Linked DNA regions of Notamacropus eugenii. The protein of the gene in region 4 interacts with the protein of the main gene of each other region in a pairwise test. Links are inferred from orthologs where the notes say so. Each region holds a gene or a part of one and is shown on either strand. Other genes may lie near its edges. The genes, in order: ATPAF2, PCMT1, PTPN11 and RPIA.

What was found.
Region 1: the proteins of RPIA (region 4) and ATPAF2 interact in binary tests that used the Homo sapiens proteins (3 or more experiments, as listed by UniProt). The two-hybrid records come from large-scale screens. The link is inferred for Notamacropus eugenii from reciprocal best matches to the Homo sapiens genes RPIA and ATPAF2.
Region 2: the proteins of RPIA (region 4) and PCMT1 interact in binary tests that used the Homo sapiens proteins (3 or more experiments, as listed by UniProt). The two-hybrid records come from large-scale screens. The link is inferred for Notamacropus eugenii from reciprocal best matches to the Homo sapiens genes RPIA and PCMT1.
Region 3: the proteins of RPIA (region 4) and PTPN11 interact in binary tests that used the Homo sapiens proteins (3 or more experiments, as listed by UniProt). The two-hybrid records come from large-scale screens. The link is inferred for Notamacropus eugenii from reciprocal best matches to the Homo sapiens genes RPIA and PTPN11.

What each region holds. Positions count from the first base shown.
Region 1 is NC_092874.1:335,298,230-335,306,502, reverse strand, and holds the start of ATPAF2 (ATP synthase mitochondrial F1 complex assembly factor 2), read left to right. Parts: upstream 1-5,038; 5' UTR 5,039-5,308; coding exon 5,309-5,459; intron 5,460-5,512; exon of another isoform or gene 5,513-5,539; coding exon of another isoform or gene 5,540-5,627; intron 5,628-7,517; exon of another isoform or gene 7,518-8,273. Other genes in the region: GID4 (glucose-induced degradation protein 4 homolog), read right to left, coding at 4,362-4,550. UniProt on the Homo sapiens protein: Plays a role in the assembly of the F1 component of the mitochondrial ATP synthase (ATPase).
Region 2 is NC_092873.1:241,815,415-241,823,356, reverse strand, and holds the start of PCMT1 (protein-L-isoaspartate(D-aspartate) O-methyltransferase), read right to left. Parts: upstream 3,283-7,942; 5' UTR 3,268-3,282; coding exon 3,224-3,267; intron 2,839-3,223; coding exon 2,522-2,838; intron 1-2,521. UniProt on the Homo sapiens protein: Initiates the repair of damaged proteins by catalyzing methyl esterification of L-isoaspartyl and D-aspartyl residues produced by spontaneous isomerization and racemization of L-aspartyl and L-asparaginyl residues in aging peptides and proteins.
Region 3 is NC_092875.1:33,753,763-33,761,656, reverse strand, and holds the start of PTPN11 (tyrosine-protein phosphatase non-receptor type 11), read left to right. Parts: upstream 1-4,422; 5' UTR 4,423-4,695; coding exon 4,696-4,709; intron 4,710-7,894. UniProt on the Homo sapiens protein: Acts downstream of various receptor and cytoplasmic protein tyrosine kinases to participate in the signal transduction from the cell surface to the nucleus. Positively regulates MAPK signal transduction pathway. Dephosphorylates GAB1, ARHGAP35 and EGFR.
Region 4 is NC_092872.1:724,333,374-724,340,988, reverse strand, and holds the start of RPIA (ribose-5-phosphate isomerase), read left to right. Parts: upstream 1-4,109; 5' UTR 4,110-4,145; coding exon 4,146-4,478; intron 4,479-7,615. UniProt on the Homo sapiens protein: Catalyzes the reversible conversion of ribose-5-phosphate to ribulose 5-phosphate and participates in the first step of the non-oxidative branch of the pentose phosphate pathway.

The DNA.
Region 1 (8,273 bases), on a different chromosome or scaffold from region 4:
CCTAGGCCATTATGCCTTATTTAGTTCATGCTCATTGGACTCTAGTTTGAGAGTTTTGTGCCTCCTCCCTTTCAAAGAGGTATCTTAAGCAGACAGCTGCTATCAACCCTTCTTTTCTGCTTATAATCTACTGTTTCTGGAGAAATCAGATATCCAAGTCTGTTAGCAATGGAGACTACAGCCTCTAACTATGTCTCATGGTTTCTCCTGCATCAGTCTGTCTGTAGTTCTGTTCTAAGAAGGTTAGATTGCTTTCAGACTTAAATACAAAAACATGTAAATAGGTTCAATGATATGCTGTACACTTGCTACAGCTTATGGCTTCATAAAGTCAAAGAATTTTGAGCTGGATGGACTTTACTTCTCTCAACAATTTACAGAGGAGGAAAATGATAAAGTATCTGCCCAAGACATTTGCCTATGACTCTCCTGACTTTTTAAAAGGATGGACATGACAGAGATAGGTCCAAGACTTCCATCTACTGACACATAACCAGTTGGCTCAAAACACTACTTTTAAGACCTTTATTTTGGCGCAGACCTTAATATGTATCCTGCCTAATGGTATCCCAAAGAACACAGTAACTCTTTTAAGACTAACTCCTTTTTTGACCTATGCCTGTGTGATGTCAAGGTAGCAGACTTTAGGGAGCACTTTTCAATAACCATCAGGCATTAGCTTTCTCTAGCCAGTTATATATACATAGGAACTGAAGAAAAGCCTCTTAAAAGATGATCTAAAACAACATCCTGTTTGTAACTCTTTCAGTTTTAGTTATCTCTTTCAAAATACCTCTGTACCCGTTTCAATTTCTCTATACTAAATTATCAGTCTCATGATTAAACAGTTTATTCATATGTTCCTAGTCTGTCCATTATTTTATACTAGTCACCATCTTTTATCATTAACATGAAACTGGCAGAACATGATGCATATGTATATGATGGGGCTACTAGTAGCTGAAATACTATTTTTATGTCTTAAGAGCAAAGTGTTAGAAGCACCAAAAAAATTAAAATCATAGGAAACACTTTGAAGGAAAATAATTTTTATAACTTGTTATTTAAATTATAACAATTTGTTATAATTTTTATTATAACAACTTAAAAGTTTAGTTAGCAACACTAACTAACCAGAGAGGTTAGATGTCTATATTTCTGAGTTTAAAACTACCATAGCCATTTTAAAAATAGACACATGGGATATTTTTAAGAACCACAAAACTCCCCACAACACCAAAATTCAAATGTTAAGAGGTATTTGGAACATCTTTGTAGCAGCTGGGAAGATAGGGAGATTAAAGAGATCTTGTGAATGAAATACAAACACTTAGAAATTTTATATGTATACCCAGGAAGAGAAAACCTGGGGTTCAAATCCTATCTTAGCCCCTTCTCATCTACGTAACCCTGAGACAAGCCAAAACCTTCCTGGGCCTCTCACTGTCCTCATGTCTAAGGCTGGTTGGTTCAGTTCTAGATCTATGATCCTATGTATCAAAACAAGTCTTCTACAGAGCCAAAACATTTGAGCACGGTTTTATGTGACTACCATACTGCATGTGAAAACTGTATTTTAAAGGCTTTCATGTGTTGCTAACCTTAGGAATCCAGCACTGTTTCATGAAACCAACCTGCTGCAGGCTGCAATAAAGAACTTTTACCATAACAATATATATATATATTTGTATATTACTTCACAATGATAAAGTGCTTTCACATATTTCTTGGAGTCATATATATTATTCTGGATGGATCATCACAACTGTGATATTTAGCATACATACTATTTTCACTTTGTGGATGAAGAAAGAGATTAAGTCTTGCCTTTCTCAAGGTCACAGCTGGTTAGTGGCAGAGTTGAGTTAGGTCTTTCTAATTCTAAGACCAACAATACTCTTTCCACTACACAGCACTGCCTAAATTATAAATGACATATAAAGTTCTAATCTACAACCTTGTCTATATATGCAGCACTCAATGAAAAAACATATATGGGGGTTTAACAAGTGAAGGAAAGATACCAGGGTGACATGGATATTGATGAGATGGGCTGTGGTTGTTTTGTTTTTTGTTTTTGCATCTGTGACCTGGCTAATATATTTTAAGAATAACAAAACATCAAAGAACCAGAATGTCCTACATTCAACCCAATACTTCATCTATTCTGTTTAAACTGACCATTATGAAGCTTGGAATTAACAAGGAGAAGATTAACAGTGTATATTGTAACTAGAGTGTAGATGAGAAAGATAAAAGAACATGTTTAGCAAAAAGGAGCCACTCAGCACATCTGGACACAAAGGTGCTCTCTTTATATTCCTTCCACAGTGTCCTAAGATTTCCTTTGCACTTGGCTTCTTGGATAGCAAGAAGTACACTGCAGCAAAAAAAAATGTAGACCCGGTAAAATGCATGATATGATAGAATTCTTCTCAAGGCAGAACCTCAAGAATGAATACGGTACAAGCAAACAGGCCACAGGGACAGAAGTAGCCAGGTCCTAGCTGATGGAGCAACAAGAATGCTAGCTTGATGAACGAGCTCACCATCCACCTGCAGAACAAGCACAGCCTTTACCTGACATGACTACAATCCACATTAGAAAGTTCCGTTTGAGCTAAGATGTCTTATAGCCAGCATCCATGGGCTTCTACTTTTAGCTGTCTTAAAGTTCCAGTCCTCATCCTGATCTAAAATATCAAATTCAGCAGACTCATTCTTATCCTTTTCCATGATATACATCCTCACCTGCCCCAAACTTAGGTTGTCCTCAAATGTGGAAAAAGTGAATTATTGAGATTAAGGTCCCAAATTAGAAATCAGGGTCACAAAGAAGACAAAAACATTTTCATCTTTACAATTTATGGCTAATCTCTAGAGCTCTCTTTCACTAAGACGATTTCTGCGATGGGTTGTAAAAGACATTCGCAACTACGCTCTAGAAAGGACACAAAATTTGGGAAATGAAGAGAAAGCCTATTATATATTGTTTCTAAAATTCAGGAAGAGCACAGATAAATCACCACATTTTCTCTTAATATAAACAATATGACAAAGGATAGCAGCTAAGTTTTCAGGCCTGAAAGAAAATCATCTACCTTCCCTAAGGGAAGAAAAGAAGAGAGGTCCTCTGGTATATAGACTAGGCTAACTAAGAAGAAAATGGTTAAGGCAAAGTGCACTGGACATCTTCCCATTCCAGGAAAGGAGAATAATGATTTCCACAAGACAAGGAAAAAAGGTTTGTTTTGCGCTCAAGAACAGGGGTCCCTAATCTGGGATTCATGAACTTGTTTTTAAGGTGTCTTTTGACTAAAGGCCTATTTGATCTGAGGCAAGATGCTAGACCCTCTTAGACCAAAGAAAAAGGCATGAGTAAGGAGCAATCAAGATTGTCCATCCCGTTCACACATCCAGGACAAAATTTCACATCACCACCCTGGGCAAATTCCTCCTAAGTGGCACGGATGTGCCAGGAAACATTTCCAAAGCCAGCTCAGGGAGAGGAGGTGATGTAAGAGGCAAGGAGGACCTCTTTAATAGAGGTTCACAGAGAGAAGGAATGCTGTCTGAAGGGAGGGGAAGCTCACTGGGGGGACTAACCAGACCTCTTCCTCAGGAGAAGTGGGAGTGGTTGTTGGTCAGGTTATGAAGAGGAAATAGAGGCGAGGTACGGAAGAAAGTTGCCAGGTTTCATGGGTTATTTCAACCAGGGAGCAGGTCCCCAGATGAGGAGGAAATGAGCAGGTTCTCCAGGGATCAAAGCCTTTCTAATGAATGGGTGTAAGGCAGGAGAAGAGGATGTTCTGTGCAGCAGAGAAAGGTGGAGATGAGGGTGGGGTGGGGCAATATCAGGAGTGTCGGGGCGGGGGGCGGGGGGGTCCTACGGACAGAAAAGGACAGACTGATGTGGACAGAAGGAGAGCGGTCAGTGGGTGACTCAGGGAGGCCCCGGGAGGAGGGAAGGACAGATATAAGATATCGGGGGGCACGACGTCTGGTGGGGGTGAGGAAGGACCGAGTAGGAAGTCCGGGGACAAGAGGGGAGCAGAGGCCCCGAGGTGGAGATGGGGAAGGGAAGGCCCCCGCAGCGGTCGGGGGGTGACTCAGGGAGGCCGGCCTGGGGTGCGGAAGGACAGACGTCTACGAAAAGGGGGAATTGGGCCAGAGAACTAAGACCCTGCTTGGGGGGGAGCCCCCCACCCATTGCTGGGGGTGTCAACAATGGGGGGGAGTTCCAGGGGCCGGGCATGGGGGCCTGAGCACGGGTGCGGACCAGGAAGGGAGGCCGGCCGCGGGGAGGCCCGGGCCGGGCCGGGCCGAGGAGGCCGCCCGCCCGCCGCCCGCCGGGCCGGTACCTGCAGCACCACCTCCACGTCGTACGAGTTCCCCTTGCTCTTCTGGTGGCCGCGGAACTTGGAGCCGCTGTAGAGGAGGCTGGTGGCCACTCCGGGCTGCTGGGTGTTGATGGGGGGCGGCGGGATGAGGGACGCGGCGGACGCGGCCGAGGCTCCGGCCGGCGGGGGGCACTCGGTGCGGACCGGCATCTCGGGGTCCCCCGGAGCCAGGGCGGTGGGGTGGGGGAGGGGGGAGGGGAAGGGAGAGGAGGGGGGAAGGGAAAGCCGGGGAGGGGGGAGAAGCCGCCGCGGCCGCCGCGCGGGAGCCGGAGGAGGGCGGGCTGACCGAGGGGGCCGGGCGCGCGCAGGCGCGCGGGATGAGAAAGGGAGGGGAGGGAGGGAGGAGAGGGACGCCCACCCCGCTATTGGCCGACAAGCTACTCTAGCCGCCGACGGGTGCGGGAGGACTAGAGAACGGGGGCTCCCCCTCCCTGGATGCCCCCCCCCACCCCGCCCCTACCTACACACTCATGTGCGCACGCGCACACAGACACATACCCACCCACCCACACACATACTTACACTCATACACACATAAGCTAATTCAGGCCAATTGGCTCTGACCCGGTGAGGGGGCGGGAGCAATTTTAGCCGCCGCTTCTTCTTATTGGTTGGCGTGAGCCACACGTGTCCAGAGGTCGAAGGCCCGCTGGGATATGTAGTCTTTGCCTAGAGACGGAACGAGTTCGTGACGCTGATTGGCTGGGAGGGCTCGAAGGTTAGGGGACCGGCCGGTAGTGGCTCAGGGTCATATGGCGGTGGCCAAAGGAAGTTGAACTCAGCTAGTGGTGGGAGAACTCTGCAGGCGGGTCCGGTGCAACTGCCCCAACCGTGAGAGGTTGCGGTCTTTCTCCTTCACGCCCTGGGGTCCCCTCCTCGATTGCTCCCTGTCCCCGCCCAAAGGTGCTATGTGGCGAAGCTGCTTTCGGCTCGGGGCCGGAGGCGCGAGCTTCCCACGCCGTCCTTGCTTGGTCCCTGCCGCCCCCGTAGAGCCGGGGGACCAGGCCGCGCCGGCCCCGGGGCTCTGGCTCCTCCGCCGGGCTTACGCCCCCCCCGCAGGTGAGCGCAGGCGGGAGGCCCCGCTGCGGCCGGGCCTGGGCCGCAGGTAGCTCGGGGGGGGCCGGAGAGGGGCACCCGCCATGGCGGGATGGACGGACGGGCCCTGCAGCCCAGGGGTCACCTATTCCAGGGAAAACATGTGGAAGCGTGTAGCCCTAATGTATGGAGGTATATGTGTGTGTGTATATATGGATATAGATCTGCTTATATTTGTATCTGTCTGTCCATTCAGACCTACATCTGTCTGTGCCTATAACTAGGCATGTGTAGATTGAGGTAGATCCACGTAAGTAGGTGTATGTGTAGATATGTCTAGTAGATTCACCCTTTATAGATGTGTATAGCGATATGTACATATATGAAGATAGAGGTATAATCCTATTATATATAATAAATTACATGTATCACTGTACATGGTCCCAGGTTCAGTTAATTTGGGTTTTAATGGTAAATTTACCTTGGGAAAAAATTGACAAAGAACAAAGTGGAAACAGTGCATTTACTCACTCAATCTTCATACTCGCTTTTCGGCCCTATCGATGATATACTGAGGTATTTTTTGGTTGAAAGTTGGCTAGAAAATTTCTACTGCAAGTTAAAATCTGCAGGTGTCTCGTTTTAATATTTTTAATAAATGGGTTCAAAACCTGCTGAAACTTTTCATTTAGAAGATTTTTAAACAGGTTAGAAAATTGTTTCCAAAGCTGTTTAGGTTTTTTTTTTTTTAACTTTGAAGATATGAGAGTTTATAGATGACAACATAGCATTTTTAGCAACAAAATCACATGATGGAAATATTTCCAACCTTCCATTTTCCAGTGCTCTCTTACATTAGTTCTTTCAAAAACCATTCTCATTCTTAAAACATTAAAACTCATTAAAACATCACCTTTATATTGAAAGAACAGATTCAAGTTAATTTCTTCTTAAATAACTGCTAAGTACAGTACTATTTCTGACAACCACTTTCATAGCAGAAACTATCACTTTTTTTGCTAAAAGAAAAATGTATAACATCTGTAAGTTTGGTACTTGGTTATCACTGGCTATTATATATTATCTATATTATCATATATAGTATATATATAACCAGTGAACACCTGTATTGTACAGCAGATTTTCTGGTTACTTCCCAATCACATTAAACATACATACTGCTGCTTTCTCAATAAAAACAAGCTAGAGTGATTTAGTAATAGTGATCATTTCACTTTTCAAAACTTTGATGTGAATGTTAAGGGTGTGAATTAAATATTCAGTCAATTTGATTGATGTGGCTAACCAAACAGATGAATTTTAATATTTCTCCTTTAGAGGATAGGACTATCCAAGAGGCACCAAACCATCATGAGGTGATCTGGGGGGCAGTGTATGTGTTTGCTGGGGTTCGGGGGATTGTGGGAGATGCATTGACATACCTGCTGGGATTGATTGGTTTTAGTGATGGAGTAGAAGGGGAGAGGTTTAGGAGCTGAAGGCAAAGTGGGGTAGTGTTGGGCAATAATGGTTGAAGGGGGTGCTGGGGTTGTGTTTGAGAGGTGCCTGATGATTGGATGTCTAGGCAAAGGATAGATGTAACCCATCTTCTGACTGGTTGGTCGATTGGTCGTACTCCACTTCCCCCTGCCCTTCCTAGTGGATTGTCCCATACATTTTCTCCTGATTTTTCTTCAGATTTTTCCTGGTATAGAGGAAAGCAGAGATCTTTATGAGTTCCTGTAGATGAATTCTGACAGCTACTTTGCCACCTATTCTCTTGGCAGCAATTCCTTATCTGTAGACTGTCTTTTCTAACTTGAAATATATGATTGATGTCTCCCCTTTCCCTCTCTATACTGCAGAGGGGGCAGGGCAGGGAGAGAAAGGGAGTTGGCCTGGCCAGTTAGTGGCCAGTACTCTTTACCCTAATATAGTTGCTATGGGAAAGATTTCTGATCTGTCTCCACTACCTAGAAAATAATTTACGTTGACTCATTTAGAGTTTTTATCATATAAGGGAACTTGGTAGGAAATTTACTCTGTGGAAAATTCATCATGTGGCAGATCTTCCTGAATGAGTCGATGAATGAATGAAGCATTTATTAAGCACTTATCATGTATAAAAAAACTGTGGATATAAATAGAAAAGTAAGCCATTCCCTCCTTCCAAGGAGCTCACATTCTCCTGGGGAAACTCCATATGGAAGGTTTCAGCTACAAGTCAGATTGAAAGGTCCCCTGGTCCTTAGGGTACAGCAGCAAAGCAGATGGTGATGATTGATCTTCAATGCCATTTCCACTGACAAAATCCTATCAGTTTCTGTGTTGAACCATTTGACACTGGATTGAAAGCACTACAGTTCCAAAGAGAGATGTTGGCTGACCCAACTGGTCTGTGATGCTTCCTGTCTCTCCTTCAGAATGCCCTGCAGCTTCTTCTGAGTGGGCTTGCTTGACCTCCTCCATCCAATAGTTTCATATTCAGTCCTATTCAGTTGATCTGAAAGAACTCAAAACAAAGGCAGTCTAATGCTTTGTGTTTGCCCTGTGTCTTTCCTCCAAAGAGTACACAATCTAATGTTGGAAGGTCATGGTTAAAGGTGATCTTTTTGGTAAAAACAGATCCTACTATGTGCTAGACACTGAGGCAAGTTTCTGCCATAGACGAGTGGTCATTGGCACTACAAGGTAAAACAAGATAGTGAGCTCTAATAGAAGTACAGCCTCTTTTATTTGACATTGAAGCCCTCCAAAATCTGTTTTCTACTTATCCTTGGCTGATAGGGTTTTACTGGCGTTTTCCCCCTCGTTCACTCCACTCTGGCCAAATTGATC
Region 2 (7,942 bases), on a different chromosome or scaffold from region 4:
AAAGTTGCTAACTTAACTACTATCCTACTTACAGTGTTTTCCAACTTTCTAGACTCCCATCAATCTGGTCATATATATGCCCAAATACTAAAATGAACCAAAAATATATGGCTATGCCAATTACGCAAACACAAATGATGTTTCATGTTTATATTGCAAGGCAAAATAACAACATTTAAAAGAAGATATTTTTCAACACAAGTTTATAATAGAATTCACAACAAAATCTAATTTTTTAAAAAATCATTAAAAGTTCTCATTTCATTTTTTTCTAACTTGCAGGTCTTTTTTCATCCTCAAATCTGTATGATCCCATTACCAACCTCTCAAAAATAGCATCTTAGGAGTTAAAATATTACATCAGTAAGAGGTTGAAACTTAAAGTTGCACAAGTGTTACAAAAGATAAAGCAACTTATCTACTCTAATTTCCTCCTAAAGAAATATATCACTTATTTAAAAACAAAGAATAATGCACATTGGGCCAACATTCTCTCTGTTAAATATCACCTAGCCACTAGATAGAAAAGCATCTTTAAAATTTTCAGCTAAGTACTTGAAATAGGATATACATGGAGGTAGTAGATCTAGTCTTGGCTAACCCTGAATTTGACCTAAAAGAAGAGACTGAAGAGTCTGATTGATTACAAATTTCTGCCACAGCCAAGTCTCTAACCGGATAACCTACCAGCAGAACACTATTACCTAATTACAATTCTTTTATAGCACTTAAAAAATACATGCTCTTTCATGAGCAAACATTTAGATTATTCTCAGTAAATATCAGAAATGGCGAGAAACGCTAGAAATCTGAGCACCTGTACAATCCACCTAATGAAAAAACGCAGCAAAGTAGCTATTAAACCTCGCACATTTTCAAATGAAATATTTTGTGAGAATTTTTAAAATATCTATTTGCATTAATTTCTACTACTATTAATAGCTTACCTTGACAGAGAACTTCACTCTTGCAAATTACTTGCACATATTTTAAACACATTTGATATTACCTATCTCACAAGATTATTTTAATAGTTTACAAATCAAAAGTGCTGTCCATTTTGCAACGTAAATTCCTCAAAACGACTTGGTGATTTGGGTAGCAAAATTATTATTAGTCCCATTATCTTCATTTACAAATAAAGAAACTGAGTCTAAGATTAACGAGAATAAGTGACTTGCACCTAGGTCACATTGGCAACTAAGCAGTGAAATTCGAACTTCAACACGGGTCTTCTGACTGGTCCAGAGCTTTCTGTTTCTAGTGGGCCAAATGCCAGACTCTAAGAGCTGTGAAAAAGTGTTCTTGATATTTCAATCAGCGAACTTTTATTGAGCATCCTCACAGGTGTTCAAAGTGCTTTGAGGCAATGTGGAAAGAGAGGAAAGAGTATGAAAACCACCCCCTTTCCCCCAAGGAGTTCACAGTCAAATTACAGAGCCAAAGGAAAAACAGGAAGAAAGCTCAAAGACTCTCTATGAGGCTGAAGGTGATTAACTGCCAAATGGATGCTGAGTTCCGACAGACAAGTAAGTGGGGTCAGATCCCTGTGAACTGACCTGGGTTACGGAAACAGTCCTTTTGGCCTTCAAGAGGGATTGTACGGGCTTTGTTTAAGGAACCACCAATCTCCATAGAAAATTTGCTCTTAAGGAGGGGAAAGAAAACAGCGGAGTCCAGACTGTGGCACGAGAATGCACCACCCAGGTGGGCTGGAACTGTCTCAGGATCCTTCGCAAGCTTTTCATCTCGGGGCCTTTCATTACCAAGCTCCAGGATGGAACGCCGCTGGCAAGACTCCCCGCGGCGGGGCTGGGGAAGCATTTGCCCAAACCGAACCTTCTCCCCCATCCCCTCCCGGGAGCTCTCGGGTTGGGGCAGGAGCCCGAGCATCTCCTCCCCTCCCCCCAATCTGGCTGAGGCTCATCAGGCAGAAGCATCTCCCAGCGGCCGGGGGAGGTCCAAGACGAGGTGAGGCGGGGGTGGGTAACGACTCGGGGAAAACTGCACCGCCCAGGAGGTCCGAGGAGGGCTCGGTCGCAAGCCGCCCCAGCACTCCCACCTCGACTCCTCTCTCCGGACTCCGCGCGGCCCCGCACCCAGGCACGCCCCTCTGCAGCCGGAGCCGAGGAGAACGCCGAACACCGGCGCTGAGTGACAGCCCCGCCGCCTGGGCTCGCCTCTCCGGGTCCCCTCTCGGGCCGAGGCGCAGAGGGTCCCACCCACGCTGCGCCGGCCGCCCCCGATCCCCGGCTCGCCGCGAGCTGGTCCCGGTCGCCAGCCGATCGCCCCCAGGTGACAGGTCCCCGGGGAGGGAATTACAAGTGCGTGTGGCCCGGCTCGGAGGGCGCCACCAACTGTCCTACCCGCCGCCGCAGCCGCCTTCCCCAACCACGCCGCCGGGGAAGGGCGGCTGCTGCCCCCGGGACCGGCGAGGCGGTGACACGGCCCTCCCCCCAGCGGCCCCTCCCCAGGCTCCCGGCCCCCGGCCGGGGCAAGCGGCGGCGGCTGGGGCACTCACTGCGGAGATTTTGGATGAGCTCCGAGTGACTGGCCCCGCCGGACTTCCAGGCCATCGCGAGGCAAGCCTGGAACACGTAGAGAACCAGCTTCAGCGCGGCGGCGGTGCCTAGCAGCTTCGCGAGGAACTCGACCACCTCCCACACCGACACCGCCCCGTCAACGTCCGCGTCCCCGGCGCTGCTGCTGCCGCCGCCGCCACCGCCGCCGATGCTACTGCCCCCGGGGCCGCTGCGCGCTCCCGACATCCCCCGCTGCGCGCATGCGCTCTGTGACGGAGCAGGCCCACTCGGGTGGGGCTGGAGGCGGCGGCTGCTGCTGCAAAAAGAAAAAAAAAAACCTGGGCTGACTCAGCGGCCCCTACGCTCTCTCCAGTGCCGCCGCCCCCGCCCCCACCCCGGTGGCATCCCTCCCCTTTGCTCTGAGCTCTCCCCCCGCTGCCTGGCCAAAGGCCCTAGTCTGGACAGGAAAGGGACATCCGCGTTCCGCTTCCTGGGGATTTTAAGGACGATCTGTGCAAGCTGCCGGCCTCGGAGAGCGAGGTCGCGGGCAGCCCCTGGCGCTCCTCCTCGTGCCCAGCCGAGTGCTCCTTCAGTCGGGGGCCGGCCCTGGGGCTCCGGGGCCCTTCCGAGGCGCCCTCGCTGGGCCGGGGATGTCACAGCCCGCCGAAGGGCAGGGCTGGCGGGTGGTGCTGTAGCCGCACCTCAGTCCAGGTTCCACAGCCGGCCAAGACGAGGGAAAGGGCATCCCTCAAGGTCTCCCGTAAGCCGCGCTGCCCACCGCCTCCTTTTTTGGGTTTAAAGTGACCTGGCCTCGAGTTAAAGCGGTGGACTAGGGACGGAGGGCGGCCACGCACCGGCAGGCAGGGCGCACCTTGCCCCGCCCGCCCTGTATGCCCCCTGTCGCGGGCCCTCCCTCCAGCTCCTTTGGTCCCGGTGAATGCGAACTGTGGCCGAAATCACGCACTAACCGGGGCAGCGGAGCTTCAGCCGGGGGTGACAGAACAAAGGCTCACGGACTGTCTTGTTTTGCTGAGAGTTTAACACTTTATTCCATATTGGAACGTGTGATTTTGTTGGTGGTGGTGGCAGTTGTTGCATCAAAATTAAGCTAAGCTTTATTGATGCCGTTAAAGCTGGGAGGGAGCTCCCGAAGGTCCTCTGGGTCCGCCCTTGTTTGCCGGCACCTTTGGGCAGGTTGGTGACCGCCCCGGGCCTCTGGGACCGTCAGTAAAATGAAGCCGAACTAGGTGGTTTCTGAGGCCTGCTAGCTGCAGAGCTGTGATGCTGACTTGGCCAAGTAAATCAATGAGTTAGGCATTGGAACCCATCCCGACGCCAAAAGCCCCATTGCTTTTCTCCATGCCTACAAGTGTGGCACAAAAAGAATGTTTAAGAACCATTTTCGCCCCCTAATTTTGCATAACTGCCCCATCCTTTTACTGAACCCACCCCACCCTAAACCCCTGCATTTGTTTGGAGGGAAGCAAGGCTTGGAGAGGGGAGTGGAAAGCAGATAATGGGGTAATTGTGCTGGCAGCCCAGACTACAGTTTGCCAAATACAAGTGTATCAACCACCCCCAAGAGGATAAACGCGCCCCATTATCCTGGGATGTGTGCTCCTCCCTCCCTGACAAGCATGCAGTCTCAGCAAATTAAGATTCACAGATGACACAGTGGGCCTGGGCTCCAGCTCTGCGGTGATCAGCTTTACTGTAGATGAGCTGGAGCAGGCAGGGAACCCGGCCCAGGCATCCTGTCCACATCCAAAGCTCTTGTCAACCTGCTCTGAAGTTGCTTGCCACAAGGGTCTTCCAGAACCCCATCAATGAACAGTTTTGAATGCAGTCTAGCTGCAGGTAAGCATTTGGCAAGTCCCTGCGCACAGCCTCAAGCTTTCTGGCTCTCTCTCACAGTCACAGAAAGGCGACTGGAAATCTATTCCCCAATCTGCAAAACAGAGAAAACAATACCTGCTCGCAAACTATCCTGGGGATTCTGTGACCACAAACGAAAAAGTACATATCACAAAGGGGTGAAATAAACGCACCATGCTGCGTGAGTTCTGATGACGGAAATAATTGGGTGCCTTACAGTTTTTTAGTTGTAATCATTCAATGAATATTTGTTGACTGAATAAAGTTGTCTTTTGGAGAATTCAGTAAACTCAATAGGTTCCTACTACATCTCTCTGCAGCTACCTGTTCTTTCAGCTGGGGGTGGGAGGAGGGCTGGAGGGGCCCTAGAGGCCTTTCTCAGGAATCTGATAACCCTCTTCCAAGCTGACCTAGATGGATTAGATTAGCATGTCCTGCCTTAGTAAGCTGTTGCTGAAAAATAGCTGCCAGCATCATCGTAGGTTGAAAAAGGAAAATCTTCATGGTTCCCTTTTTTGAATAGCATTCTGCTAGGTACTGGGAAAACCTGCTCTCAAGTAGTTTATAATCTAGTTGGAGACATAAAGTGTAAGTTACCAGAAGATGACTAATGCTAAAAGCAATACATGATACGTTGGCAAAGGAGGGATATGGACCATAAGTGTTCAGAGTAAGAACAGAGTGATGGGTTGGTAGGGAAATGACAATAATAATCGTAGCTCAAAAGAGTGAGGGCAAAGGAAGGCAGTTAAATAGGGCTGAAAACAATGTAGCAGAGAATGACACTTTAAAAATATTGTTTTTAAAAAAATTCAGTATTCCTTTTTAAAAAATCAATGTGTAGTCCAGTAGCAAGAAATAGTAAGAGAAATTCCATTAAAAAAACTATTATAGACAATACAAAATGCTTGGGAATCTACCTACCAAAACAAAACTAGAAACTATATGACTACAAAACACTTCACACGAATAAAGTTAGATCTTAACAACTGGAAAAATATCAATTGTTCATGGGTAGCCTGAACCAATATAATAAACGTGACAATTCTAACTAAATTAATCTATTTATTTAGTACCATACCAATCAAACTATCAAAAAATTATTTTATAGAGTTAGAAAAAAATAACAAAATTCATCTGGAAGAACAAAACCTCAAGGACTTCAAGGGAATCAATAAAAAAAAAATGAAGGTGGTTCACCTGTACCAGATCTCAAACAGTATTATATAAAGTGGTAATTATCAAACAATCTGGTACTAACTGTGAAATAGAGTGGTGGATCAGTGGAACAGATTAGGTACATATTATATTATAGTAAACAACCATAGTAATCAACCCAAAGATCCAAGCTTTTGGAACAAAAACTCATTATTTCACAAAAAAATTCTTTCACAAAAACTGCTAGGAAAACTGGAAAACAGTATGGCAGAAATGACATATATACCAACATCTCACACTGTTTATCAAGATAAGGTCAAAATGGTTATATGATTTAGATATAAAAAGGTGACATAAGCAAATTAGGAGAGCAGGGAATACTTTTTCTGTCAGATCTATGGATTAGGAAAGAATTTGTGACCAAATAGAGAGCACCACAAATGGAAAATAGATAATTTGGTCATAAAAAAGTTAGAAAGTTCCCTAAGAAAAAATCTACAAGTGTATATGGATTTACAAGTGAATTTCTATCAAACATTTAAAGAACAATGAATTCCAATACTATATAAACCATCTGGAAAAATAGGCAAAATAGATAAGGAGTCATACCAAATTCTTTTTTATGATACACATATGTGATGATACCTAAACTGGGAAGAACCAAAACAGAGAAAGAAAATTGCAGACCAATTTCCCTCATGAATATACAGAAAAAAATTTTAAATAAAATATTAGCAAAGAGATTACAGCAATTTATCATGAGGATAATATACTATGACCAGGTGGGATTTATACCAAGAATGCAGGGCTGGTTAAGATTAGGAAAACTATTAGCATAATTGACCATATCAATAACAAAATTACAGAAATCATATGCTTAGCTCATTAGATGCAGAAAAAGCTTTTGACAAAATATAAGACCCATCCCTATTAAAAACACTAGAGCATAGGAATCAAAGGAGTTTTCCTTAATATAAGTAACATCTATCTAAAACCATCAGCAAGCATTATATGTAATGGGGATAAACTAGAAGCATTTCCAAAAAGATCAGGCGTGAAACAAGGATGTCCATTATCATCATTGTTATTCAGTATTGTACTAGAAATGTTAGTGCTTTAACATGTAATTCAGGGAAAAAATAAAATATAATAATTTTTTTAAAATCACATATATTCACTGCTAAAAAATTTGCTGACCATGACACAATTTTGTGATATCATTTTGAAATCTCATCATGTGTGAGACACTAAAGACTCAAAGTATCCTGTGCAAAGTAACATAGGGGAAAATCTTTAAATATTATTTAGAACACACAATTTTCTTTTTAACTAAGCTTGTCATTTCATTGGCCTAGAGAACTGCTAGAGTGAAAATTCCCTCTCTCAATGCAGATAGGCTCCTGTTCAACAAAGTATATAGTTTTGGAAAGTTGCCTGGAGCACTGAGAGGTTAAATGACTTATCTAGCCCACCACAAATAGTAGGTGGCAGGATTTGAACTCAAGTCTTCTGGCTTTCTATCTGCCATGCCATGCTACCTGTTAGAGATACCTTTGTAGCAGCTGTAGTAGGTGTAAGAGCAGCAGAGGCAGCAGTAGCAGTAGTAGTAGTAGCAGTAGTAGTAGTAGTAGTAGTAGTAGTAGTAGTAGTAGTAGTAGTAGCAGTAGTAGCAGTAGTAGTAGTAGCAGTAGTAGTAGTTCTCTTAGCTAATAACCTATTTTTATCATAGCTGACAGTGGAAATTACACATCTGACTTTTCCAAATCTCAGTACCTGATGTATAATATGAAAAAATAGAAATAGCAATCAAGGAAATAAAGTTAGGAAGAGAAATTGGACTATGCTAAATAATATATAGAGAAAACCCATACTAGAGATTATATAATTTTAAATGGTTTAAGGAATCTGTTTTCAATATATCTTAATACTTCCATAATCTAATGGGTCCATGATCTTATCACTGTGGGTACTTTCTGCAACTATGCATATCCCAACTGATTCACACTTTCTCTTCCTGTTGTAATAAGGGTTTCAAGCATTCGTAGACCACTTCAGATGGCATTACCCACATGCTAGGGTACCCACTTCTGGATACTGGAAGACTGGACCATGTGTAGACATTCTACATTGGCCTACCATGTGGTTTTTGTTTTGTTTTGTTTTGTTTTCCATTGGTATATAGTTGGAACTGTTGGTTTCTTTAAAAAGAGGTGAAGGCAAAGGGCCCTAAGGACTGCTCTCCACTTTAGGCCATGTAGCCCCAAGAAACAGGCCTGGAGTTTGGAACTTTTCCTTCCTCCTTTTTCTATTCTAGGCACAGGCAGTAGAGTCTTTAATCAGACTCAAGGTTGTGAACCATGGGGGATCCTGGAATCCGGAAATCCAAG
Region 3 (7,894 bases), on a different chromosome or scaffold from region 4:
CTAAACCCAGTTGGGGGAGGGGAGGTGGGCAACTTCCTGGCTCCAAAACCATTTTTATCTCTTGTCTCTTCTGATCTACTTGCTTGGATTTTCTTGCATCCTGACTCCCTCACAAGACTTAGCATCCAGTTAACTTTCCAGGAATACTGTAAATGCTTCCATCTTGTCAGAGTCAGCACTGAAATATCATCATCACCTACAATGCTGCACACACAGGCTCATGGAGGATGTATTTCCAGGGAGAACATGGCCCCCACAACATTAAGGAAGAAAATCGTAGTATGAACATGCATTTATACAGCACCTTAAGGTTTACAGAGTACTTTGTAACACTCTGAAGATACAGTTCAAGCAAAAGAAGAGGAACCTTTCATTTTTTAATATAATGGAGTTGTTAGGTTTCTTAAGAGGAGTTCATCTAATTTAAGAGGAGTCCAACTAATGGGAAATAACATATTCCTGTCCATGTCATCCCGATGTAATTCCTGGAAGAGGTGAAGTTTCACATCTAAGTTTTACCTTATAAGCTAATAATACTTTTATGATATACATATAAACAAATAATACTATTATACTAATAATGCGCTCGTTGAGTTCACCTGTGTGACCTTGGGAAAGTCTTTAGGTCTCAGTTTCTTCTTCTGTACAATGATAGTTCCTTCTAGTTCTCATATTTAACAACTACATCTTTTTAGTAGAGAGAACATTGGGAGAGAAGACAGAGGGCTTGGATTCAAGTACTCACTCTTTGTGACAACGCGCAAGCAATTTCCCCTCTCTGGTCCTCAGTTTCCCTGTGGTGGGAGCATTAACTCATGGGAAAATCCTAAATTCTGCTCTCATACAAGTTGGGATAGTTTTAGATACTGAAATTGTCCTTGAGATTTGTTTGGCTAAGACAGCTTAAAGGCTTATTAGGCTTTTAAACATCATTTCCTGGTCAGTAGAGTCCAAAACAGCCGAGAGGACCAGGATTCCCTGTTGCTTGGCTGGCAGAGCATGATGGTCAGCTCATACAAGGTCAGCTCAGGGATTCCTCAAGCCACATCCTTGTTGAATATTCTTCTGCTATGGCTAAGTAAATCTCCTTTTGTTAACTCTTGAATGACCAAAGGGTAGGACATAATGTAAGAAAAATGTCGTTATCTGCAATCAGAACTGGAAGGAACCTTAGAATAAATGAGAAACAATGTTTTTAACTAGAAGGAAGGGTCTTTAGGGATTATCCAGTCAAACTTCTTCATTTTGACTATAAATGTATAACATATATTTAAATATTAAGTTAAATATAAAACATATAAACATTAAGAGGGTGTGGCATGATGGCTAGAGAGCCCAGGAAGACTTGGCTTTGGTCCTGCTTTGGACACATACTGACTGGGAGACTCTAGGCAAGTTGCTTCACCTAGACCTGCACTGGGAGACAGAATTTCCTAGGAGTTCCTTATACCAATGAAACCACAGGTTCTATCTAAAATAAAAATTGAAAAAAAGAACCCTCATACTCATACATAGCACTTGCGTAGCATCATCTCATAACAAAGAGGACAATTATTTTTAGCCTCAATTTACAGATGAAGAAATTGAAATTGTGAGAAGGGGAGTAACTTACACATGATCATATAGCTGCTATGTAGGTGACTTGAGCATTTATATAAAAACAACCAAATAGCTCTCATTTATATGTTGCTTTGTGGTTTGCAAAGCCCTGTACCAATATTCATTTTATCCTCACAGTCACCCTGGGTGGTAGGTCCAGGTCTAGTACTCTTCGTCATTACACCAGGTTACCTTTGAATACATGAGCAGATCTTGTGGTTGGTCCTTCATTGGACCAATGACATCACAAACTGTGACGGGTGATGGCTTGACTTGCTGACTCCAGAACCGATGCTACTTTTCTCCTCTGTTCTACAGAGTCTCCATTTTTTGGTCTTAGAAATATTTTGCTCCAGTGATTACTAGGGGATGAAATACTTTGTAACTATTAATTCTCCAAAGAAGTTCTGTGGCATCAGATTAAAAATAAAACTAATAATCTACCAATTCATGTGACAGTAGACTTGGCTGAAGTACAAAGAGGGACAAACTTGGAGTTAGAGAGACCTGAGTTTGATTCCCAAGTTAGATTAAGGAGCTATCAAGTAAAGGTCAAGTTACTTAACCATTCTCAGCTGTAAAATAGGTATAATAGCTCTTTCCTCACAGAGTTGTCTTGAAGGTCATATACTAATATACACAAACAGTATCACAAGCTTTAAATTCCTATGTACATATTAGCTTATCACTATTATTCAAAGTTCAAAGAGTATTGAAAGGAAAGGAAGGAAATAAGTACTTCCATAGTGCCTACTCTATGTCAGGTGGGCAGCTAGGTGGCACAGTGGATAGAGTGCCAGGCTTGGAGTCAGGAGGACCTGAGTTCAAATATAGCACTAGACACTTAAAAACTGTGTGGCCTTGGACAAGTCACTTAATACTGTTTGCCACAGTTTCCTCATCTGTAAAATCAGTGGGAGAAGGAAATGTCAAACCAATCCAGTATGTTTGCCAAGAAAATCTTCAGTGGGGTCACAGAGAGTTGGACAGGACCAACAGACAACAATATGTGCCAGATGCCACGCTAAGCACTTATTTTAACGAATATTATTCCATGACAAATAATTATCTCATCACAATCCTAGGAGGTATGTACTGTTAATATCTACATTTTACAGTTGAGGAAACTGAGGCAGATAAAGGTAGATAGAGGCCAGGAGGTCACCTCTGCTTTACAAAGGAAGAAGCTCAGGTTTAGGTGACTTGCCTAGGATCACACAGTAAATGTCTGAACTCAGATCTCCCTGACTCCAGACTCAGGGCTCTATCCTTTTCATCAAAGAGCTTACGAAATAGAAAATTTAAGAAATCTCATGTCTTAACATAACTAACAGGTTAACCTAATATTTCTATAACTCCCACATAAAAACGTACTTAGCAAGTGTTTGTGGGAGTATTAAGATCATTTTTCAAGCAGGCATTTTTGGCATTTGAGTTCTAACATCACGATTGCTATTTTTTGATCTTAGAAATCCTTTGTTCTGGTGTTATTTCCACTTTAATAGAATGTCAAAGCTGGGAGAGCCTTTAAGGACAGAGAATGTCAGGGCTGGGAGGGGACTTAGAACAAGGGGTGCCAGAGCTGGGAGGGGCCTGAGAACAGGGGATGTCAGGGCTGGGAGGGGCCTCGGAACAAGGGGTGTCAGAGCTGGGAGGGGCCTTGGAACAGGGGATGTCAGGGCTGGGAGGGGCCTTGGAACAGGGGGTGTCAGGGCTGGGAGGGGTCTTGGAACAGGGGATGTCAGGGCTGGGAGGGGCCTTGGAACAAGGGGTGTCAGAGCTGGGAGGGGCCTGAGAACAGGGGATGTCAGGGCTGGGAGGGGCCTTGGAACAAGGGGTGTCAGGGCTGGGAGGGGCCTTAGAACAGGGGGTGTCAGGGCTGGGAGGGGCCTTGGAACAAGGGGTGTCAGGGCTGGGAGGGGCCTCGGAACAGGGGGTGTCAGGGCTGGGGGGTTCTTAGAACAGGGGGTGTCAGCTAGATATATACAACTCCTTAAGGTTTGCCAATAACTTTACCAATATGACTTCATTTTATCTCATAACGTGTTTGGGAAGCAGGTTCAATTCCGTTCAGTAAGCGCGCATTAAGCACCTACTACGCGGTGCGCAGCAGGGATACAATGAAGCAACCTGCAGCGCCTGGCCTCCAGGACTTACAGTCTAGGGGAGGAAACCCCCAGATCCGAACAGCACCGGCCCCGCAGGGCAGGAGGGGGAGCACGTGGCGGAGGGGAGGCTCACGAGGGGCTTCCTGGAGGAGCTGGGAGAGTCCGGAGGCAGGGGGCTGGTAGGCACGGGGGCAGCCCGAGCCGAGAGGTGCCCCCGGGGCCAGGTTGGGCAGTGAGGGGCGACGCCTGCACAGACAGGCTGGGCTGGGCTAGGAAGGCCCATGCTGGAGGGCTCCTGCAGGTAAGAGGGAGCCGCGGGAATTGACTGAGTAGGCGCCTGTGCTTTGTCTCCCATTTTACAGATGAGGAAACTGAGGCACAGGTTAAATGTCTGGCTCGCCCAGGGTCTGACGCTGGATCTGAGCTTCCAGACCCACTCTCGCGCCCACCTGCCGTGTGCCAGGCACAGAAGGGGGTGGACGGGAAGCTGGGCCGGCACAGCGTGTACCCTGGGAGCCTCCCGCGGGCCCAGTGCCTGGCACGTGGAGGGCGCTGGCTCGGAGCTCGCGGATCCTCCTGACACCAGAGCGCCCCCTCGCGGCCGTTTGCTTCGGGGCGGCCCAGGCTGGCGGGCGGAACCCCCGGCGCGGGGCGCAGTTGCCTGCGCAGGGGGAAGCCGGAAGTGCGCGGCGCGCGCGGCCGGCGGGAGGCTTTTGGGGCCGACCGGCGGCCTGGCGGGAGGTTGGCGTCGCAGGCCGATGGCGTCACTGTCGCGGTGCCGGGCGGCGAGGGGCGGGGGCGGAGGCGCGGGGGAGCGGAGCGGAGCGGAGGCGCTTGGGGGGCGGGGGGGGCGGCTCGTCTCTAGTCTCCGGGATCCCGAGGCCTGGATGGCGGCCGGAGCGCCGCGGGCTCCGCGCTAACCCTCGGCCCGGCCCGGCCCGGCCCCTGAGGAAGCGGATCCGAGGAGGAGCCCGGGAGCGGGAGGAACATGACATCCCGGAGGTGAGCGCCGCGACCCCCGCGACCCCCGCCCGCCCACAAAGCACCGCGCGCCCCTCCCCCTCCCCGGCCGCGAGACCCCCTCCCCCACCGGGCGGGCTGGGGGAGGGGCAGTGGAGTCTGTTCTCTCCCCTCCCCCAGCCGCCTCTTCTGGCTCTTACCCTTCTGCCCCTCCCCCGCCCCTCCCCCTCCCTCCACCCTCCCCGTTCCCTTTTTATCCCTTCTCCCTTTCCCCTTTCCCCCCTTTCTTTCCCACACCCCTTTCCCCTGTCTTTTCATCTTTCTCCTTCTCCTCTTTCTCCCCTCCCCCTCCCTCTGTTCCCCCTTTCCCTTATCTTTTCATCTCCACCTCCTCTTCTCCCCTTTTCCTTTCTTTTTCCCCTTCCTCTTTTCCTCCCTTTCTTTATCCCCTCTTCCTCTCCTCTTCCCTTCCCCTTTCCCTTTCGATTCTTTTTTCTTCTCCCCTTTTGCTCTCACTCTTCTTCCCCTTTTCTTTTCACCTTTCTCCCTCTCCCTCTTTCTCTCTTTTCTGTTCCTTCCCCCTCCTCCCTCTCTATTATTCCCCTCCACTCTTTCTTTCCTCTTCATTCTTCCCTCTCGTCTTCACTTTCTTCTCCCCCCTCCCCCTTGTGCTTTATTGTGAGGGTCAAATGAGAAAATATTTGTAAAGAGCTTTTCACCTAGTAGACTTTTAATAAATGCTTATTCCCTTCCCCTCTTCTTTTCCCTTTTCTCTCTTTTTTCTCCTTCCGTCTCTTCTCTTTCCCCTCTTTCTTTCCCTTCTCTCTTTCCTTCCTCTCTTTATTTGTCCCTCCTTTCTCCCCTCTTTTTCCTCTCTCCTGGTGAGCAAAAACTGTCTTTTTGTCTTTCTTTGCATCTCCAGCATTTAGCACAGTTTGTTATCTCTCTTCTGTTTCCTTTTTCATTTTCCTTCCTTCCCCCTCTTACCCTCCTTCAGGAATCTGCTGCTCTTGCTAGGTGTGGGGATCTCCTGATTCCCTTCTGTCTCCCCAGGAATGTCCCCGTTTTCGTTTCCCCTTCCCAGCTGTGTGTCTTTCACTTTCCTCTATATATTTAGTTTTTGGTATTGGAAAAATAATAAACACCTTTTCATGAGGTTTAAAGCACTTCTCATAATAACCTTGTGAGATACCAGCCTTATTATTACCATTTAATGGAGGAAGAAACTGAGGCTCCCAGAAAGGAAGGAACTTGCTCATGGAAATATGGAAATACTGCTACTAAGTGTCAGAATTGGATCTTCTCCTCAGGTCTCTTCGTGGAAACACTGATCAGTACTCCTTTCCACTCTACCTTCTTTTCCTCTTGTTTTCATCCAAGGGGGACCAGGGTAGAGACTCTGCTCCCAGCTGCTCTTCTCTTTTGTGATCTCTTCATTCATTCCACTCTGCTCTAAGTAATGACTCTTTTAGTGCCTCCAAGCTGGAAGGCAGGGATTGTTTATAAGCAGAAGATACAAAGCTGAAGTAGGTCATGGTTGTGCACTACATTCCTTACTCATTGCTTCATGAAAATTGCCTAATAATTATTCAGAAATCACAGCCACCCTCCTTTGGGGGAGAGGTTCTTGGTGCTTGTGTATGTAATAATGCTCCTAGTTAGCCACTCTGAGGCAGTGCCTCTCTGGACTGGCATTGGTTAGGCAGACCCGAAGTAAGCCTCGAGGTAGTTTTAGGTCCTTTCCTCAGGTTATTCATGTCCAATTCTTGGCAACTGTCAAGCTCTTTCCTCTTCTGGACAGAATCAGTAGCATTAGTGAGAATTGGTGTCAAGGTGCGTTGGGTTTCTTAGATGAAAAGATGTAGGCTGAAGAATGAATTATTACTTTCTAACTATTATTAAGCTTGTACAGTCTGTACAGGGCACTTCGTTGCCCTCAGTCAGACCTATCATTACTACCAGATGTTACTAATCCTTTATGGGTTGTACTGGCTATAGACCCATCTTTTTTTTTGGTTGATGACTGCTCAGTTTTGTTCAGTCCCAAAACATCACCACTCTTTTGTGATGTTTAAATAATAGCATTGGGACAGGGTATGATCCAAATGGGAAGCTTCTTAAGAAATTAGGAATATTTCCCTAATACTCTTTCTCTCAGTCTTTGTGTCTTTCATTCTGCATCTTTGTCTTTCTATTTGTTTCCGTGATTGTTTGGGGTAGGGAAAAACCAAACCTGGAAACTTTAGGAAGCGAATGACCTGGGCAGGTGTGATGCCAAGCTCTGTCAGATCTGGGTGCATTTCAGCAAGACGCTGTGTGGCTGTGGCCTAAAGTGTCCTCTCTCGGAGCCTTTGTCTGTGTGTTACTTCATCTATCAAAGTAACCATTGAGCCTTTGTTCAAGGTCTGCTATTCTGAACTAGGAAGGAGTTGCCTTTCTAGGACATGAAAAGCATGGGGGGAAAGGGGGGAGGGGGATGTACAGGAAAGGGTCTCCTTAGTAAGAGTTGTGTTGCCTGATGATTTTGGAAACTGCAAAGTCTTAGCCAGGTGAAGCTGCCCAAATGGTCTAACTGAATTTTAAATGACGGATAGCCTGCTTTTCCTCCAGTTCGCTTCTGCTGTTGAGAAGAAAACTGTCTAGTTAACAGCAGCACAGGAATAGTAACTGTGATAGTAATCACTGTCAGACAGCCTAGAATGCTGGACTTGGAGTCAGGAAGACCCGAGTTCAAATTCTCTCACACTAGCTGTGTGACCCTGGGCCAGTCACAGTGCTTTTTGGAGCTGAGTCAGTTTCTTCCCCTTGTCTGCAGAGTCCTTCCTCATATATTATCTACATACATCCTCACGATCACTTCAGGAGGTATTATTAATCCCCATCTTGAAGAAATAGAGGTTCTGAAGTGAAGTGATTTGAGTCTGTACACAGCTAGTGAATGTCTGAGCCGGAGCCCAGCTGGAGTCCATCCACTTGTTCCAACTCCAGCCCTTTTTCTCCTCCCCTCAGCTGTTCAGTGTGGGATTCCCTTCTCATCTCAGAGAACTGGAGGGATTGAGCCATCCTTGCTTAGCCTCCTGGTTCTTGCTCTGGTTTCATGACAGTGGAGGTGTGACTCCTCGCCTATAGTTTGCTTCACTCTGTGGAATTCCTCATGCAAAAATTCCTTTTTCTTTTGAATTACTCCCCCCCAAGCCTTTTCTTTTATCTCTGGTTGTTTAATTTAG
Region 4 (7,615 bases):
GGGGACCAATACAAGTTGCTGCATTGTCTCAGCAAAGTGAAGGCCTTGCATTTCACTCAGCAAGAAGTCAAGGAGCAGGTTCATCCCTGCAGGGCCTGAGCATATACCCAGTTCCATGGAATCACCCATTTTATTTATCTTCTAGTATCCACAGTCAGCATCAAATTGGACAATATATCTTGGTACCATGGTCAGTCTTCATCTTATACACCCACAGACAGGTGGTTAGATCTGATTCCCCAAGAGCTGGAGATCCTTTTCTCCTCTTTCCCCCTGTCCCCTGTCATGGCCAGGAATTAAGCTCCAGTTAGTCCTTCCCTATCTGAGTACCAAGCAGTGAGATAAATGATTATTTCTCCCTCATATAACCAATTATTGATTTAGGACCAGGATTTTTTCAGAACTCTGTAGGTTGTTAAATCTCTGAAGGTCACTGCTGATAATGATACTGAATTAACTTTCTCCTCTTGGTTCTTCGGACCCCACCCAACCTTACAAAGAATTTAATCAAGCCCATTTACTCTACACAGTTTTGGGTGGGGATAAATTCTTTGATTAAATTCCCTAGGCTGGGCAATTGAGAAGTAAATGATGTAATCAATTACATCCCCCACCCCAGCCCCTCATTAGGTCTACCTCTCATTGTAATATTAATTTTCTCCATTAATTGTCAATCAATCAGAGTTGATTGACACCCTCAAGAATACCCACTCTTCCAAGGGCATGTAAACTGTGAGCCCACCACCATGATTCATCTTCAGTCTGAGATAGACAGTCAAGCGACCAATCCTTTTATTAACAAAATGCTAGCATTATTAATAAAATGACTAATTACCCAGGAACCATGTCTCGAACTTTTTAAACATCACAGTAGCATGAGGGCTCATGATGGGGCAGAGAAGATATTGGGGGACAAAGGAGCTTAGGAATTAGAGACAATTGTGTCCAACGCTTTGTTCTATAAAGGAGTAAACCAAGGCCCATAGAACTTAAATGACTTTATCAATTAAAAAAAAACCCCAAAAAACAGGAGGTAGCAGAACTAAGATTTGAACCCTAGGCCTCTAAACTTCAGGGCAGCTAGATGGTGCAGTGAATACAGTGCCAGACCTGAAATCAGGAAGATCTGAATTCCAATCTGGTTTCAGAGACTTTGCTAGCAGTATGACCCTGGGCAAGTCACTTAACCCTATTTGCCTCAGTTCCCTCATCTGGAAAATTAGTTGGAGAAAGAAATGGCAAACCACTTCAGTATCTTTATTAAGAAAACCCAAAATGGAGTCAAAGAGAGTCAGACACGACTGAAATGACTGAACAACAACAAAAGTTCTCCACCCCATCTCAACTACACAGTTAAACTCTTGATCTGATCATCTCCTGTAAGTGTTTAATTTCCAAGTTCATGATCTCTTGAATTCCCTCATCTGATCATAATTTAACATCATTCTACTTCTCCTTCTGCCTTGTAACCCTTAACAGTATTCCTCATAACAATCTCCAATCCCTTTACTTCTCATTTTTTTCTCAAGCCATCACCCCTTCATTAGCTACATTCTCCTCCTTTTCTTATCTTGACCCCTTTGGGATCCAATTAATGTCTACACTGTCTTCTTGTCCCACTTTTCTATCAAAGATCTTGCCCTGCCAGCCTTCAACCATGGATTTGTTGTTGCTGCTGAGTCATTTCAGTTGTGTCCGGCTCTCCAAGACCCCACTTGGGGTTTTCTTGGCAAAGATATTGGAGTGGTTTGCCATTTCCTTCTCCAGTTGATTTTACAGACATGGAAATTGAGGCAAACAGGGTTAAGTGACTTGTCCACACAAGTAGTGGGTTTGAGGCTGGATTTGAACTCAGGTCTTCCTGATTCTAGATTTGGCACTCCATCCAGTTTGACAAACAGCCATGGGTTATTCATTCCCAGAATTCAATATCCATTGGCTTGGCACAAACTGCTGAACAGAGCTGAAGAAATAAAAGTGATTTTTTAAAAAAAGATATAGAATAAACCTTTTAAAATGTGTTTTAGATTTTTGTCAGGAATATAAGTCAAGTTGCCCGGACCATATAGTTTGCAGATTTCATCTTTGACCCCTTTTTGAAAACTCCTCATGATTTAGAAGTTGTATATTGATTTAACTATTCTAGAGAGCAATTTGGAACTATGCCCAAAGGGCTATAAAACTGTGCCTACCCTTTGATCCAGCAACACAACTACTAGGTCTGTAATCCTAAAGAGATGATAAAAAAGGGCAAAGGGTTTGCATGTACAAAAATATTGATAGCAGCTCTTTTTGTGGTGTCCAGGAAAGAACTGGAAATCAACTGCAGAAAGCCTGAACAAGCTGTGGTATACGAATAGAATGGAATACTATTGATCCATAAGAAACGATGAGCAGGCAGATTTCAGAAAAACCTAGAAAGACTCGAATGAACTGATGCTGAGTGAAGTGAGTAGAACATAGAAAACATTATACACAGTAATGTGTGATGACCGAGTTTGACAGACTTAGTTCTTCCAAGACAGTTCTAAAAGACTCATGAAGAAAAAAGCTATCCACATATCCACATCCAGAGAAAGAACTGTGGAGTCTGGATACCGATCAAAACATACTATTTTTAATTTTTTGTTGTTTTTTTCCCCCTTTTTGTTCTGTTTTTCTCTTCACATGACTAATGTAGAAATATGTTTAACACGATTGCACACATATGACCTATATCAGATTACTTGGAGAAGCAATGGAAAGGAGGGAAAAAAATTTGGAACTCAAAATCTAATAAAAAATGAATGTGGAAAAAAATAAAAGAAAAAAGAAAGCTCCTTCTCCAGGCCATTAGCATTCCAATCCCTTTCCACCAGTTTGGGCAGTTATCACATGTACCAGATCTCAGCACTCTAGAATGTGGCAGCTGTGTGACTGCTGACGTCATGGAGTTACATACTGCCTGACCTGCAGGTCCCTTGGGTTCCCCCCTCCCTGTTAATTTAATAGTAATAAGGCAGCTAGCTTTAAAGTTTGTGAAGCACTTTATGAATATTATTTCACTTAATCTTTGGGAAGATTTATTGCGCTTTTACCATGCTTCCCACGCCTCTCTTGACAGATGAAGGGACTGAGGACCATGGGTCATCCTTTCAAAAAGGGGTGGGAGATGGAAGTCCCTGTGGGAGGGGGTTATCTATATAAAAGGTGTAACGTTTAATCCGATGAGAAGGTGCCTGTAGCTCCTTCCCTCCCTCAATCGCCTCCACTGCCCCATCCCCAGGCTGATGAATTCCACGACCTTCCCGCAGGCCCCAGCCCCCCACCATCACCCACGTGCGCTCTTCTCCACGTGGAAGGCGAAGTCGCGAGGTCTTAGCGCTCTGGTGTCTGTGGCCTGGGCCCCATGCCTGGGGCCTGGCACTTAACAAAGGCTCTTCCCTCCGCTCATTTATTCGGTGCTCTGTTGGCGATTATTATTTAATTTCTTCAAAAGTAACCTCGGGGGGTTGCCCGCTTGGATAACCAAAGCACTTCCAAGGTCTGCGAAGCCACGTACCAATGTGATCTCGTTTAATCCTGGCAACAACCCCGAGAGGGAGGCGCTATCCCCCCATCTTCACACTCGGAGCTAAGCCTTTACGACTGTCTCAGGGTGAGCGTCGAGGGCTGGGGTCCAGGCCAGCGCTCTTTCCACCGAGGGCACGCACGCCAAAGGAGGCTTGTCCTTGGGGGCCCCCCATTTCATAGGGGGGCACTGGCGGCTGGATCAAAGACCTTGGTTCAAATGCACCTGCCGCCCCCCTCGGCGTGGTGACCTCGGACGAGTCATTTAGCTGCACCTGTACAACCGGCGCGTGCTTGTGCGCACCGCCTCTGGTTCCAAGGCCGCCTCGGGGCTCAAGCACGTGAGCAGGTGTTCTCAGACCAGGATAGGATAAGCCGGGGCGTGCCCCGGACAGCCGTGAGGCCGTAGGCGCGCTGCCTTCTGGGGCTGGTAGTCCGAGCTCCCGGACAGTTGCGGGGGTCTGCCCCTCTCCCGAACTACATTTCCCAGCGGCGCCGGCTCGCGCGGCGCCCTCCCTCCTGAGCGGGCCCGATTTCCGGGGCGGTCCGGGGCGGGGCGAGCCGAGGCAGGCGCGGCTGGGCCGGCGGAGGCAGGGATGCAGCGCCCGGGGCCCTTCAGCACGCTCTACGGGCGGGTCCTGGCCCCACTGCCCGGGCGGGCCGGGGCCGGGGGCGGGGCCTCGTCCGGGGGCGGGGGGAGCTGGCGCGCGGGAGAGCCGCACGTGCCGCCGCCCCAGCGCCAGCCCTCGGGCGGGGGCAGCGGACACTTAGTGGCCTCGGCCGCGGCCCCGGCGCGCGCTCCGCTCGCTCCCGCTCCCGCGCTCGCTCCCGCGCCCCCGCTCCTTCCCTCACTCGCCGCCCGGACCATGTCCAAGACCGAGGAAGCCAAGCGTCAGGCCGGCCGCGCGGCCGTGGAAAACCACGTGAAGGTGAGTGCCCCCCGCCCCGGGTCAGCCTCCTCCGGGAAGCCCTCCAGGTTCCACCCGGGGCCGCGCCGTGGAGAGCGCCGCTGGGAGACGAGTTCGAATCCCGCCCCTGGCGCGCCCAGGCTCCGGGAACCCCGCTCCCAGTCTCAGTTTCCCAATCTGTAAAAGGCGAGCGGGGAGGGTCTCTTGTGCCCGGCAGCCTCCGGTCCTAGAATGGAAGCCCCTCGAGGGCAGGCGCCCCAGCGTGCCCGCCACTGGTGGGATGGAGGGGGCCAGAGGCGGCCCCCCGGAAAGTTGGATTTGGAGGGGAGCAGGGCGGGGCGGGCGGGGAAGCCCCCCCAGTGACTCGGGGGACCCACGAGGCGGGGGCGGAGCGGGCCATGTGGCGGGCCCCGGCCTGGGCGGCTTCCTCATCCGCACACTGGACCCCGGGGGTTTGGGGGTCCGGGAGCGTGTTGGGAGGTGAGGCGGGGCAGATCCCCCCAGCTCCAGGTGCCGCTCGGTCCTGTTCCTCGGCCTGGTTCCGGCCCGGGTCCGAGGGAACCTGTAGCCTGCTTACAGACTTGGGCGGGGTGAGGCAAGGAGGCCGCGGGGGGCGGGGGGCGGGGGGCAGGGGGCGGGCCGACCTTGGCCCGCAGTGGGCCGGGGTCTGCCGAAGTCCTGGTTTTTCTTCCCCCGCCTCAGCCCCGAAAATGCCTGTTTATAAAGATGTGAGCCGGCTCCCGAGAACTGTTTGGGGAAAAAAGTTGGGCGGAGCCCATTTCCTTGAGTTAATTTACAACCGATCAAGTTAATTATGTCCATTATCCCTCCTGGAAGGAGAATATCCCTGCCCCGTGGGAGTTCCCGGGCTTGGTCCTGCCCGGTGCCCTGGCACCCTGGCAGGCACCCCATTTCTGCGCCTCCGCCTTCGGAAGGTGGTGAATGTGCGGGCAGGACCTCGCGCCTCGCCGGGTCGGGGGTCCTTGCGTGGCCAGTGCTGTCCTGGAGTACCCGGGGGGTGCTGGGGTGTATTCAGAGCAGAAGAGGACCCAGACTCGGAGCCCCCTCCCCTTTTAGTCTATCCTGCATCTTAAAGCAGATTCCTGTGGGGTGAAGTTCTGATCGTGTGCGCGCCCGCGTTGGCAGAGTCGGTAGCGAGGTCTAGCTCTTTTGGGGCGACAGAAACCTCCCCTCCCCAGCAGGCTCCTGGACCCCTGTCCGGCCTTCTGCCCATCACTGCCACCGGGCTCCAGGGGGACTTACTGGGAGGGGACGTTGGGCTTGGCCGTTCTGACTGGCTCCCACCCTGCTTCCTTTTATGAGATGTTCAAGCTGTTCAGTCCCACTTCCCTTTGAAATTCCTGTATGTGTTCATCGGGTACTTAACTACCACCAGTGGGCAAGGGCACTCTACTAGGGGCTCCCTCAAATCAAAAAGGATCTCTTGGAGATCTTTGTGGGAAAGTTTAAAATCATTTGTTGATCAGTTGTTTAAAATCGCGTCCAACTCTCTGTGACCCCTTCTGAGGTTTTCTTGGCAAAGATACCCGAGTGGTTTGCCATTTCCTTCTCCAGCTCGTTTTCCAGATGAGGAAACTGAGACAAACAGCAAGTAAGTGACTTGCTCAGGGTCTCACAGCTAGGAAGTGCCTGAGGCCAGATTTGAACTCACAAAGATGAGGCTTCCTGCTCCATACCTAGCGTTCTATGTACTGTCCCACCTAGCTGCCCCTTACAGTTAGACCCACCATTATTATCTGTATATGCATTTATCATGGGGGAGGAGGAGGAAGTAGTTGAACATAAATTTAGTTGAAAGCCTTGAGATCATCTCTAATCCTCCCCCCACCTCTACCATTTATAGATGAGGAAACTGAGACCCTCAGCACACACAAGTTGTAACAAGGTATTCTCCAGGCTTTTTTCTACACTTTAGTGATACAGGTTGAAATTCATTCGTTCCGCCTAACCTTTGCGCCCTGTTATCTGTGTTGGGAGCCCACTCCCACTCCAAGTGCCAAAGTACTTACTCAAGATCTTATTTAGATGGTTCTGAGCCGTTCAGGGGCTCCATGCAGTGATTACAATGTCATCTTTGGAAGAGGAGCCCCTGGACATCTTCCTTATTGTTCTCCTCACTATCTTCATTGAGTTCTTCTGCTTGGACCCTGCCCCTGATAGCCTTTGCCCTTGGTAAACATTTAATGTATTTCATTCATTCATTTGACTTTATATGAATTTCAGTGGAGCGTGTGGGCCGTTCATGGGTTATCCCTTAGGTTCACTACATGACCAGCCCCATCCTGACCTTTCAGGTCTTGGAGAACAACTTTGGCTTCTTCTCTTGGACAGTTCTATGGCCCATTGTTCCGTGAGTGCTCCTCAGCTTGTGTTCTTAGGAGAATGTAGATTTCCATGGCTTATTGTAAAATACAGCATCACCAGAAGACTGTTTCTGTGGAAAAAAGATAGGTCTTTGTTTCAGGGAGAAACTTGGGGTCATTGAGAGAACAGCAGCAGTCCATCCCTTTCTCCTCCTGTTGAGCTCTGGGCTTAACCCATTGCCCACTCACAAGGCCCATACCAGATTGGTATTGGTAGCAGGGCTGACCGTCCAAGAGCTGCATATCACTGCCCGATTAAAGGGCATTTTCCATTGACTTTTTCATATTGTTGCCTGGTCAGTGGGCATTTTCCATCTACTTTGTGGATGAACCTATTTCTTTTCAGTGATTGTAGATCCACATTTAGGAGACTCTGAGATGTTCAGTGGCTTCTTAATGCTGTGATCTCAGTGGCATTCACAATCAGAACGTCACTCACCATCTATACTATAGATTCAGTAGGAATTCCTTCTTTTACTAGTTGCTTTGAACTGAGTGTCCTCTATGACAGTAAGCCTTTTGCTTCCTTGACTTTATGCCTTATTCCTCATCTAATATTAATAATCAGAGAGACATCAAAAATGTTAACTACTTCTGTCAATATCTTTCAAGGATTTTTCCACATGCATGGAAGCCACCATGTTGAAAGAGAACCTTTAGGTGGTGTTTTGCTCGACCAAATCAAATGCTTTTTTATGGTCAACAAACAAATGTAATGAAATCCTAAATATTTTCTACATTTTTCAGTCTCCAGTGTGATGATAAAGACATGAT